3 linked regions of the Drosophila melanogaster genome follow. The protein of the gene in region 2 interacts with the protein of the main gene of each other region in a pairwise test. Each region holds a gene or a part of one and is shown on either strand. Other genes may lie near its edges.

Region 1 (4,393 bases), on a different chromosome or scaffold from region 2:
TGAACGAAGTGTACAAAATTCTAATACCCATATGCGAGGCTAACAGAGATTTTCAAAAGCTAAGCAAAGTTCATGGCAAATTGCAGGAGGCATTTAATCGAATATCCCAACTACAGGTAACAATATTGTGTAAATTTTACCAACGGAAAATATATACATATTTATAAACAGGGTAAGAGAGTTTTTGGAACATACTTTCGTGTTGGCTTCTATGGCGGAAAATTTGGGGACTTGGATCAGCAGGAATTCATTTATAAAGAGCCAACATTGACGAAGTTGCCCGAAATATTTAGTCGGCTTCAGGTATATATTGCAAATTGGAAAAAATAGAACTAATCAATTTTGTTTCAACATACGTTAGAACTTTTACACTGAACGATTCGGACCGGACTCTGTGCATATCATTAAAGATTCCAATACCGTTGATATTAATAGCTTGGATCCCGATAAGGCTTACATTCAAATTACTTATGTTGAACCCTACTTTGAAACATATGAAATGCGTCATCGTGAGACATACTTTGAGCGGAATTTCAATATAAGTATGATATGAATTAAACAGATAATTTAAATCGAAATTTAAAATTATAATTTTAACATTTTTGGTTTATGCAGAACGTTTTATATATGCCACGCCTTTTACTAAAAATGGAAAGGCACATGGCGAACTAAATGAGCAGTGTAAACGGAAAACGATTTTGACCACGGCGAATCACTTTCCATACGTAAAAACTCGCATTATGGTAATTAGCCGACAGCAAATAGTCCTGGAACCGATTGAAGTGGCAATTGAAGTAAGTTATGTTGTAAAATCCCAAAAGTTAATAAAATTAAACGTTATTGCCTAGGATATTCAAAAAAAAACATTGGAATTGGCAGCTGCCACGAATCAAGAGCCAGCAGACCCCAAAATATTGCAAATGGTACTGCAGGGATGTATTGGAACCACTGTTAACCAAGGACCGATGGAAATGGCGAGTGTGTTCCTTTCCAATTTATCCGACGGAACAACTGTACCGACAAAACACCAAAACAAACTTCGGTTGTGCTTTCGCGAGTTTTCAAAGCGTTGTGCTGATGCTTTGAAAAAGAATCGCAATCTAATACTTTCAGATCAAAAAGATTACCAACGAGAACTGGAACGTAACAACGATCGGTTCATTGAACGATTGACTCCCTTTATTACTCTTACATCAGTTCAGAATCATGGCGTTGTCAAGTAAGTTTTTATTGTTATACAGTGAAAAGGAAAGTTACATTGTGTATACATATGTATTAAAATTCTCATGTCTTTCTTATTTTGTTCCTCAACGGAGTGCTCTAAATAATAGACATAAGATGCTTAATTAGATATTTATAGAATCCAGCCTAATATAGATATTACTTTACTATATGACTATATTAAAAACCACCAGTGCAAAAAGTAAACATTAACTTATATAATTTTTTATTTCTTTTCTAAATACATCCAATAGGGCCAACGCGTACAACAACAAAAGTACTCCTTTGAAATGGTAACTTCTTGCACACGACTTAGTCTGCAATCAAATTATCATACTTTTGGTCTTTCATGTCTAGCGTATCGGATTATTTTAAGTAAATCTTACATTTTAAATTATCGATCTCTATAATTGCTAATGTAATAGCATAACTTTTTTATGCATCTAATAGATTAAGCAAAATATTAAAAAGCGAAAAAAATAAAGTTTACACTTTTTTACTTTTACGAAAATAGTTAAAGCAACATGTTTCAAGCTACAAGGAGGTGCAGTTAAAGTGAGTGAAACAAATCGTATCCTACAGCAACAAAATTTAATTGTCGATTACCAGAAAAGGGAAGTATTCGAAAATGATAATCCTCGAATTTCGCATGGGTCGTTAACGGTTGTTAGATTGACTAAGAGTGAGCTCCGTGAGGCAATGGTATCGAACGCGACCTATCGGTATTCGCGAAACTTTCGAGTATACTATCGATGTTTTTATTTATCGATAGTGTCGGCTTTAATTACACGTAAACTCAGATAGTTTGCCGGTTAAAAAGACAATAAATAAATAAAAATGAGAATCAAGTATTGTTGGCTCGCAACGCTAGTATTCATAGCCGCTGCTTCGGCGTCATATTCTCCCGAAAAGCCTGTTCCGCCGCCCTGCAGGGCATGTACCCAGCTTGTTAGCTCTTTCAGGGCAGGACTCGAAAGGACAAAACGCGGACACGCGGGCGGGGACACGGCATGGGAGGAGGAAAAGTTGCGTTCGTACAAGAACAGCGAGGTACGGCTAGTGGAGATCCAGGAGAAGCTATGTTCGGAAGGAGAAGTGATAAACAAGGATCACTGCCACAACCTGGCTAACGAGCACGAGGCGCTTCTCGAGGACTGGTTTATCCACAAACAAACAGAGAGTCCCGACCTGCAGTCATGGCTTTGCATCGATCAGCTAACAGTCTGCTGTCCGCTGAACACCTACGGACCAGACTGCCTGACCTGCACCGAGTGCAATGGAAATGGTAAGTAATGATAACCAAGTATTACAGGCCACAACTTACATAAGTGTGTCAACTTAAGATTGCCGTCTTCGTTAATTTTACCCACATGACAAATTTCAGGAAAATGCAAAGGAGACGGAACTAGAAAGGGTAACGGAAAGTGCAAATGTGATCCCGGCTATGCGGGTCCAAACTGCAACGAATGTGGACCGGAGCACTACGAATCATTCCGTGACGAAAAGAAATTGCTGTGTACACAGTGCCATGCGGCCTGTGGGGAAGGAGGCTGCACGGGAGGTGGTCCCAAGAGCTGCCGCAAGTGTAAGAAGGGCTGGAGCATGGACTCGGAGGCAGGATGTGTCGACATTAATGAGTGCTTGGAGCAACAGCGTCCAAACCCTTGCCGACCACAGCAGTTCTGCGTGAACAATGAGGGCTCCTTTAGTTGCCTGGAGTGTGATCGATCTTGCGATGGATGCGATGGTGATGGCCCTGACATGTGCAGGAAGTGTGCGGATGGCTATGAGTTGAAGGAAGGAAAGTGTCATGGTAAGTAAGACAGAAATTTAATAAATTTGCTTTTAAGCAACGCATTGTCCACTGTATGTATTGCGCCTCCGATCATTTAAGATATTTCTGCGGAGCAACGCAGCAACTACGTAAGCTTTACGCGAATGCTCACCTACTTCGGAATGTGCGTGGCCACCTGTGTCATCTTCCAGAGCTCTACTCATATTGCCTGGGGTTGCATTGTTGGGGCGGCAGTGGCAGGGTACATTGCTGTTTCCGAGTACTGGATCAACTCGGAGGCAGGAGGCGGCCACCAACCCGAAATAGATACAAAACAGTTGGAGGAACTAATAATGAAGTCTTTATAAGTCAAAAGACATGTCAACATTGCTTTCCTTTTATGATATACACGAGCGTTTTGAAAAGCATAATCTTTTAACATTCCCCCAAGACATCTAACGATTTTTGTACTTCGTTTGCAGTCCGCAGTGATTCAAACTCCACGGTGCTCGGTGAAGAGTCCACGCACGAAGAATTGTAAAAGTAACCAAAAACGCACACCTTTTGTAGCCAATTTTACTTTAATAGGTAATATTATCAATTGATATGTAATTATAAATTAGAATTTCAAAAAGCAGGGCATGACCATATTTTTTTACACGTACCACACTTAGATATTTATTTGGTTTCAAAAATGTATAAAATCACAAATACAGCATATATTCGTATGAATAAATATTTTTAACTAAAATTACTGACGTAGTGTGCTTTTGTGACGTCCAAATTTTCATTTTGAAGACCATCTGTCGTGTGCAATGTAATACTGCTTTAAGCGGATTAATAAAGGAGCTACAGTGATACGAATGAATCATTGCATTTGGATCTTACAAAATGAAAATTTGTAAACAAAAAATATACACAAGATAACAACCATCACCGCGCTATATAAATAAAAACTCTAAAAATATTAACTAGAGGAACTTAAGCATTACATACGATCGTTCCCTTTGGCTTCTAAAGTTATCCAACACAGTCCGAAACGGATACAGAGCTCCCCCCACAACAGCCATTTAATCCCTACGACCGTGTCAAATGAATTTGACTTGTGCTGGCCGCTAGTCCTATCTCTTCGTCCGATTCATCTGAATCCAATGGACTCACTCGAATGGCTTGGTACCACTTGTTAGTCAGGTCGGCCATCTGTGACTTGCACTCGTGCAATTCCTGACTATTGAACCGACGTGTAAAAAACGGAATAAAGTACTTGCGATCCATGCGCCCAAAACGATCGCGCGCTTGAGTAAAGGTGACGTCCTCTTCCTCGGTGAGTTCAGACAAGTGTTCAGAGTCGATTGCCTGGCCCCATTCGCGAGTTTTCGATAGGGAAATAGATTTTGA
Region 2 (4,261 bases):
ACTCGTCCATCGCCCCAGATATAGTGTGCAGCTTGATAATGGAGGTCATTTTTGCCAATTAAACCACCGGTGCATTTGTTTAAGAAATTGTAAAAGGAAACCAAGAGTTCTTCGCCGGTTCAGGGATGGGAAACTGTCACGGCGTTGCCAGAGTGCTGTTGCTTTGTTTATACAGTACGTACTTGTTGAGCGAACAGTACAACCCGATAATAAACAAAGATTGACATTTTAAATGTTATAAATTAAAAACTTTGATTATGTCTCTCATGTATTAACCATACATACATATGGCTACAACCTTCTTCAGTTCAATTACCTTCTCTTTAATGAGTCAACATTTATAACTATGCATCCTTATCAATAGAAGTCTCAACAATCTAGTATAAGTAAACACAACTTTTTATCAAATTATTGTTTAATTAATAAGGGTGGGGTAGAGTCATGCCGTTTTAAAGAACCATGGATGCCCAATCGGTTGCATACTTTTTATAAAAACAACTTCTTATGCTATTTTGTATTAAAGGCATCCTAAAAATTGATTTCATAAACATTTTCTTTTTGGTTAGTAGACTTTAGTTGTTCGTAAAAACCATTTAAAAAATTAATGAATATTATGTGAGAAAATAAACCAAAAAAAAAACAATTCGAGCTGGTGAAGTTTCACTGTCTGTTGGTTTATGCGTTGCGTCCCTGGTCGTCAGCTGTTATTCGCCAACCGGCCGCGAAGATTGCGTCCGAAATTAGGATGCGGAGTTTCCAAAGATCGCACTGAGTCAACTTTTCCTGCCAACAATGTTCGTGCGGCTCTGGGTCCGCAGCTTCCATAAATATGATCTTCTCATCGCCATCGGACTGATCACTCTCATCGTGTACCTGTGTCTGCCCTTCCGGTTCGCATCGCACTACGACTACATCGAGGAATCAAAGATCGAGGGGGCTCTGGTGCCGCAGGTGACCAGAAATGTCTCCCAGCAGGAAGTTTTCGAATGCACCTACTCGGAGATCATTGCCGAAAACCGGTTCGTCTACCACCTGGCCCATTACCATGACGCGGTGCAGAGGGGCGCGGAGATCCGTCCTGGCGGCGAGTTCCGTCCGGAAGGATGTCAGGCTCGCTACAGCACCGCCATCATTGTGCCGTACAGGCAGCGGGAGGAGCAGCTGCACGCCTTCCTCACGTACATGCACAATTACCTGCCGCAGCAGCTGATCCACTATCGGATTTTCCTGGTCGAACAGTTCGATCATAAGCCGTTTAACAGGGCGATGCTCTTCAACATTGGCGCCCAGGTGGCTGCGGAGTATGGATTTCCCTGCCTCATCCTTCATGACGTGGACCTCCTGCCACTGAATTCGGGTCAAATATATGCCTGCTCCGAACGTCCACGGCACATGAGCTCTGCCCTGGATCACTGGCGATTCCGACTGCCTTACCGCGGTCTTTTCGGCGGCGTGGTGGCCATCAACACCGCCCAGTACCAGCAGATCAACGGCATGTCCAATCTGTATTACGGCTGGGGCGGAGAGGACGATGACCTCTACGAGCGCCTGCAGGCCCTGAATATCGACATTTGCCGATTCGCAATGGAGTTCAGTAAGTACACCATGCTGAAGCACAAACAGGAGCAGCCGAATGCCAATCGCGTGGCACTGCTGAGATCGGCGACTCTGCGCCAGCACGCGGATGGACTCAACTCACTGGTGTACACGGAAATGGAGCGGCGAATGCACAGTTTGTTCACGCACATCCTGGTTGATACCTGAGTGCCAGTATTTGTTATTGTATTTAGCTTGTAGGCCAATCGTTTTCGTAGTCGGTATCTCGAAGTGTTTTATACTTGGCTGCACTTCGCTTCGCAACCGATTAGTTACCGCCTTAGACAATGCGTTCCGAATCGATCGTGATATCTCACTCACTAGGCTAAGAAGCTAGACGGGAATGGAGGAGTCAAAGCTGTAATTGAAGTACAATGCAGAAGCCTCAGATTAAGCGGATATCGACATGTTAAGCACGCTCTGCCTCTGCCAATAAAAATGTATTGAATTTAATCTAATGGTTTGTTGATTAACTTTAAAAGCTCCAATCAGCAGGGTACATATATATCGACCAATTCGAAATCAAACTAATCATTATGACAATACCTTGACAATTGAACTTTGTTACCGCAGTCAATAATAATGGGTTTTCTTGCTGCATTGCTTAAAACCAGCCTGTTTTTGGTCCTATTCCTGGGGTCCTTGTTTCTGCTACCTGTCTTATATCCTAGCACCACTTTCCCCTTCGAACAGTATTTGTAAGTTGTTTTTCTTCAGTTGCTATCAAGCCATATAATCTATATACGTGCGTTTCCCAGTATAAAGCCAGCTAGAGATCTGAATGGAACGCTGGAGCTGAACAATCACTTAAATGGCGCCCGGAAGTTGTGGAAAGATCAAATATTTGGACCCGAGTGCCTCATAGTACTCGAGGACAAGATTTACACAGGAATTCACAGCGGCGAGGTTATTCGACTAAACAATGAGGAGTCGGTTCAACCTATCACAAAAATAGGGCAACCTTGTGGTAACAAAGGAGTAGGGGCAACTTGTATCCATAATGCCCTTGATATTCACCGTAGATTATATATTTGACGATGAGTTGTGCGGCTATCCAGTGGGTTTAGCCCTGGACACCCAGGGAAACAATCTTATTGTATCCGATGCATACTACGGCATATGGCAAGTCGACTTGGAAACGAAGAAGAAGACTGTGCTGGTGCCGGCGGAGCAGATCCTTCCTGGCAAGGGTGCAAACCGTCGGGCTAAGCTGTTCAATTCGCTGGTAATTAGCCGCCAGGGTGACATATTCTGGACGGATTCCTTTTCAGAGGACTTTGTCTTTGCTGCGTTCGCCAACCCGTCGGGTCGGTGAGTTCGAACTAAGGAGAGATCTACCATATAAGAAGGGTTTATTGGCTTTCCTCAGACTTTTCAGGTACGATCGCGTAAAGAAGACAAACGAGGTACTGCTCGATGAGTTGTCCTTTGCCAACGGCTTGGCCTTAAGTCCCAGTGAGGATTTCATTATCCTTGCCGAAACAACGGCCATGCGGCTGAGGAGATATTATCTCAAAGGATCAAGAGCCGGTGAAAGCGAAGTGTTTGTGGAGGGTTTGCCCGGCTGCCCGGATAACCTCACTGCGGATGAAGAGGGAATCTGGGTGCCCCTGTCTGTGGCTTCAGATAGTCAGAATCCCAATTTGTTCGCCGTGTTGGCGCCCTATCCGAGGCTTAGATCTTTTTTGGCTCGTTTGGTGGCTCTAATGCGACTTCCCCTTCGAGTTCTGAACCATATATATCCAAATGACATTGCGGCTCGTCTTTTTCACTCCTTTAACGATTTGGTCATCAGGAACGCTCCCAAGCGTAGCACTGTGGTGCGTGTGGATTGGAATGGAAACATTGTGAGATCCCTGCATGGGTTTGACAGATCAGCTTCGGGCATATCCCACGTGCTGGAAGTTAAGGGTCACTTATATCTGGGATCGCCTTTCAATCACTATGTTGCCAAAGTAAAATTGCCCGAAGAGGGATTGAAGTCCGTAAAAGGAAATTAAAGGGATTAGTAAAGTCAGTACTATGGATTCAATGTGATATTTACCATTATAATTTATTATTATTTGAATGCCACCTTATTTAAAGAACCTGTCAAGCATTGTTTTTAATTAGTTTATTGCACCATGAAACTATCAAATCACATTAATATTTTGTATTTTATTAATAAAATTAAAACTCAAGGAACAAACCTTTATTTTGAATAAACAAAAATACATGACGTTAAAATAAAAGATAAATAAAACTATATATGTCTGTACAATTTCGTGTCTTAGTAATTGGATTTGCGTAGAATTACAATAAGAACTCATGCGTGAAAGTGAATTAAATATGCTTTGTAAAAAATACGTCAGAACATAGTTAGTTGGCTATTTTGTCTAGCTAATGTACTATTATATTTAACTACATGCGGTCGTTTCGTTTCACATTTGATATCGATTGCGGAATGTGGCAACGAGCAAGGGCTCAAAAGCCTTGCGTTTAAGTCTACATAATATAATTTAAAACATTACTAACAAACACGCACACATTAAGACTGACACACTCATACACTTGCACAGATTAGATTTTATGTATAAATATATGTGTCAGCGTCCAATGTATCAACACAAGTTCTAATCGAAAAAGGTAATCGAGTGATATTGCCAGCAAAAATGGTAATACCAAT
Region 3 (3,620 bases), on a different chromosome or scaffold from region 2:
CCCCTGGCCATTCAAGATGTGTTCAATCCTCCGGAGGAGGGACAACAATCTCACGAAGCTGGTCCCAAGGAACTGGAATCCCTGTACACGCTAGTCTCATTTTACATGGCGCAAATGTACGGGCATTTGGGTGAGCCGGAAAAGTCGGCCAAGTGCTGCCATCGCACCCTCCATCGACAGCTTGAGTCAAAAACATACGATCCCATTGATTTCGCACTGAACACCGCCACCTTGTCACAGTTCTATATTGGAGAGAAGCGCTTCGAGGAGGCCCGTCATCACCTGGCCGCTGCTACGCTCATCATGGCCGAATATGAGGTGCACATGCTGGAGCCGGAGATGAGCGAGAAGCAGCGCCAGGACGTGTCGGAGACCTTTAAACATCGCTACGCCGATGTGGCACGCTGTTGGGCCAAATATGGATTGTATTTAATGAACACATCCAAGCTTCGGCTGATGCGGGACGAAGATGACGAGGATGCCAAGAACCTGGAGATCGTTCTGCGCAATATGCGGCTGGTCGAGGCGGAACAGTCCCGGTTTCCTGGACTTGACCTCACCGCGTGTGAAAATCGTATTAGTTGTGAATACTGCCTGACCTTCGACGATGCCAAGTTGGTGTTTCATTTTGTGAACGAGTGGCTCGACATAGCCAAGGACTATTACAAGGCCGAGAACGAAGCTACTGAGTATTCAAAGATAATGCAGGATTACGCCGAAGCGTATGAGCACATTGCCTTCTTCGAGGAGAATCCAGAAAACCAGGCCAAGATGCAAAAGCGTCGCGCCAAGTATCTGGAAGATCTTTTGGATCTGCTTGACCCCATCTTTTACATGAAGATATGCCGAGAATGCTGGTATGGAGCCGGCACAGCTCATGCTGCCGTGATGGATGTCCGTCTCGACATCATTCGGGCCACTAGCACGCCAGCGCCGGAGGACATCAAGAAGGTCAATCAGAGCTGTATGAAGGCCATCAAGCACTTTGAGAGCTATGTCAAATCCTATCTGGTCAAACCGCCCAGCGAGGAATGGCGACCCAACATGGACGTGGAGGAGCAACGCCACATGCTCTACGCCCACTTCCACATCGGTCGCATCTACTACAAGCTGATCAGTGGCCATCCGCTCCAGCAGCTGGAGCACCTAACTAGTTGCCACACCTACTACCAGAGATTCGATGCTGGTTGCCAGCTGCACAAGGAGGCGGCCGAGACGCTGCAGGGCGAGATTGGTGTTGTGCGTGAAATGCTCCAGCTGTTGCCGCTCAAGATAAACACGATTAAGGCCAGGTTGAACAAGGCTGGGCTAACCGCGTGAGAATTTCCAAAAAATTAATTGCATTTGCTAAAAGCTTTATACGTAGTCAAAATAAATCGCGTTTCTTTCAAGGATATTTAATTGTTAATACATTAGTAACTTACATGTTACATTCTGATAGCGAAAGTAAGCCGCTTTTCGATTTTAATTGCCGACAGCATAAATTTATTTCTTGCTACTCGTGAATGGTACTTATGCCGGAGTATGGCTTGGCGCACTGTTTCATATATTGATTATAATAAATAAGTTGAACTACTTCGAAACTCAATTTTTTGCCGAGCATTTCTAAATTTCACAAAACTAAATTGAACGAAGCTCTGTCTCCGAAATACTTTTCAAACCTGGCAACCCTGGCTGCCAGCCATTCACATACGAACAGCTGTTTTTTCCAAACAGGAAGAGGAAGAGCGCCGTTGGCCTAGCCAAAATCAGGGAAAATATAGTTTAATAGCCAAGTTTAAACTGCCACTATAGTTTTAATAGTGAATAATAACAGTAAACTGCTAGTTCGTTCCTTAAAAAATGGCACACGCCACGCCACAGGTATGTGATTGCCTCAAAAATAAAGAGGAAACTGGTAGTGCGCCGCGTTTCTGTGACGCAATAGCTGCGTTAACTTTCGTAAACCCCATGGAATAACAAAGCGTTTAAACCTTCTGCAGGGCGTAAAGCTATTAAACGGATGGAAGCGTCCGGGTCGCTTTGACAAGGGTCTGGGAGCCCAGCTGCCCGAGGCGTACAGGAAGTTCTGGCGCGAGTGGAAGCTGACGACCCCGGCTGCGGTCCATTATATCCCCAAGGAGCAGCAGTGGGAACGAGATGAGGTGACGCACGCCATCAAGCCGGTGCAGAACATCCCGCTGCCATTGATCGATACGCCGGAATCGCACCGTGGCATCTGGGGTGGCGAGGCCGTGATCAAGGGCTTTCAGAAACGCGAGCAAACAAAGCGTCGCGTGCCGCACTTTTGGGTACCAAATCTTAGGCGTTCGGTGGTCCATAGTCATGTGCTGGACTGCTACATGTCCGTGGTGGTGACGGAACGCACGCTGGAGCAGATCCATGAATGTCATGGCTTTGATCACTACCTCCTCAAGAATCGTGCCTGCGATCTTCGCTCCGCTTTGGCTCTGAAACTCAAGCGAGAGGTGCTTCAGGCCCTGCAGAACGGTGTTCCAGCCCTCGCCGACGAGCCCGAACGCCAACAGGAAGTGCTTAAGGAATACCGCCGCTATCTGGAACCATATACGCCCGAGGAAATCGATTGGTACGGCCATACCTATTTGGAGGCCATACGCAAGCTGCAAAAGCAGCTGCGCGAAGCGGAAAAGGTGGTGCCGCATAAGTTGGAGTTCCGCGGAAAGCTTATCGAGCAGCTGCGCCAGGCGGGGATCAGCGAAGCGGGAAAGCTGGAGAAGCCGGATGCATTAGCAGCAGAATCGTCGGTCGAACACAAGGATTCGGATATCGAAGCGCTTACAAAGCTGTAAGTCACAAATACTTCTGTAATGAATTTCCTAACCAATGATTTATTCCAGGGAATCCTCCCCCTCTTCCAGTTGGCTGTCTAAAATCAATCCTTTCGGCAAGAAAGAAACCTAGAAAAGCTGTCCGCGTTTGTTTTTGATTTATGTGTTTAGCCTCGAACGAATAAACATAACTTCGGAAACATTTCGTTACAATTTGAAGGTATTAAAACGTTGTTACTCGAACGTCTTTATTTCAAATATTCGTTACATCTGGTACTGTATAAAAACAAGTAGAATCACACACTGAACATGAACGTACGCGGCAAAGTAGAAAAAGGAATGATTGCAAATCCCCACGAGAATACAGAAATACATTGACAAATCAACTACGCTGATCACTTTACGCTTAGACTATGGTTAGTGTATAGCTCCGCAAGCGGGCAGAGAGCTTTGTGCCGTAAATGATCCCAGTCCGAGCTGGAAGCCAGGTAGGCCTTAAGCGATTGGATTTTTCCTCATTAATTCGATGTCAGCCTTCATCATGTCGCTAACCAATTCCACGAAGGTAACTTTAGGCGTCCAGTTTAGCTCTCGATTGGCTTTGGACGCGTCGCCTTGCAGCAGATCGACCTCCGTCGGCCGAAAATACTTTGGATTTATGCGGACGCGCACAATACCCGTGCCGTTCTCCACTCCCACCTCGTCCACACCCTTGCCCTTCCACGTTATCTCTCGATCAATATGCTTGAACGCGGCTTCCACGAATTCGCGCACACTGTGCGTTTCGCCTGTAGCTATGACGTAGTCGGAAGGAGACTCCCGCTGCAGCAT

The links.
Region 1: the proteins of Ssl2 (region 2) and Creld interact in a two-hybrid assay, tested with the Drosophila melanogaster proteins (one large-scale study listed by BioGRID).
Region 3: the proteins of Ssl2 (region 2) and mRpL28 interact in a two-hybrid assay, tested with the Drosophila melanogaster proteins (one large-scale study listed by BioGRID).

What each region holds. Positions count from the first base shown.
Region 1 is NT_033779.5:100,401-104,793, forward strand, and holds Creld (cysteine rich with EGF like domains), read left to right. Parts: upstream 1-1,979; 5' UTR 1,980-2,058; coding exon 2,059-2,506; intron 2,507-2,605; coding exon 2,606-3,034; intron 3,035-3,115; coding exon 3,116-3,363; 3' UTR 3,364-3,477; coding exon of another isoform or gene 3,478-3,536; 3' UTR 3,537-3,742; downstream 3,743-4,393. Other genes in the region: Zir (Zizimin-related), read left to right, coding at 1-116, 172-303, 362-542, 616-794, 849-1,219, 1,476-1,518; Nhe1 (Na[+]/H[+] hydrogen exchanger 1), read right to left, coding at 4,073-4,393.
Region 2 is NT_033777.3:29,030,451-29,034,711, reverse strand, and holds Ssl2 (strictosidine synthase-like 2), read left to right. Parts: upstream 1-2,069; 5' UTR 2,070-2,178; coding exon 2,179-2,294; exon of another isoform or gene 2,295-2,354; coding exon 2,355-2,563; exon of another isoform or gene 2,564-2,618; coding exon 2,619-2,907; exon of another isoform or gene 2,908-2,965; coding exon 2,966-3,596; 3' UTR 3,597-3,761; downstream 3,762-4,261. Other genes in the region: Cpsf100 (cleavage and polyadenylation specificity factor 100), read right to left, coding at 1-49; beta4GalNAcTB (beta1,4-N-acetylgalactosaminyltransferase B), read left to right, coding at 793-1,764.
Region 3 is NT_033779.5:4,972,295-4,975,914, forward strand, and holds mRpL28 (mitochondrial ribosomal protein L28), read left to right. Parts: upstream 1-1,681; 5' UTR 1,682-1,842; coding exon 1,843-1,863; intron 1,864-1,982; coding exon 1,983-2,806; intron 2,807-2,858; coding exon 2,859-2,922; 3' UTR 2,923-3,022; downstream 3,023-3,620. Other genes in the region: CG14043 (uncharacterized protein), read left to right, coding at 1-1,320; Gmd (GDP-mannose 4,6-dehydratase), read right to left, coding at 3,285-3,620.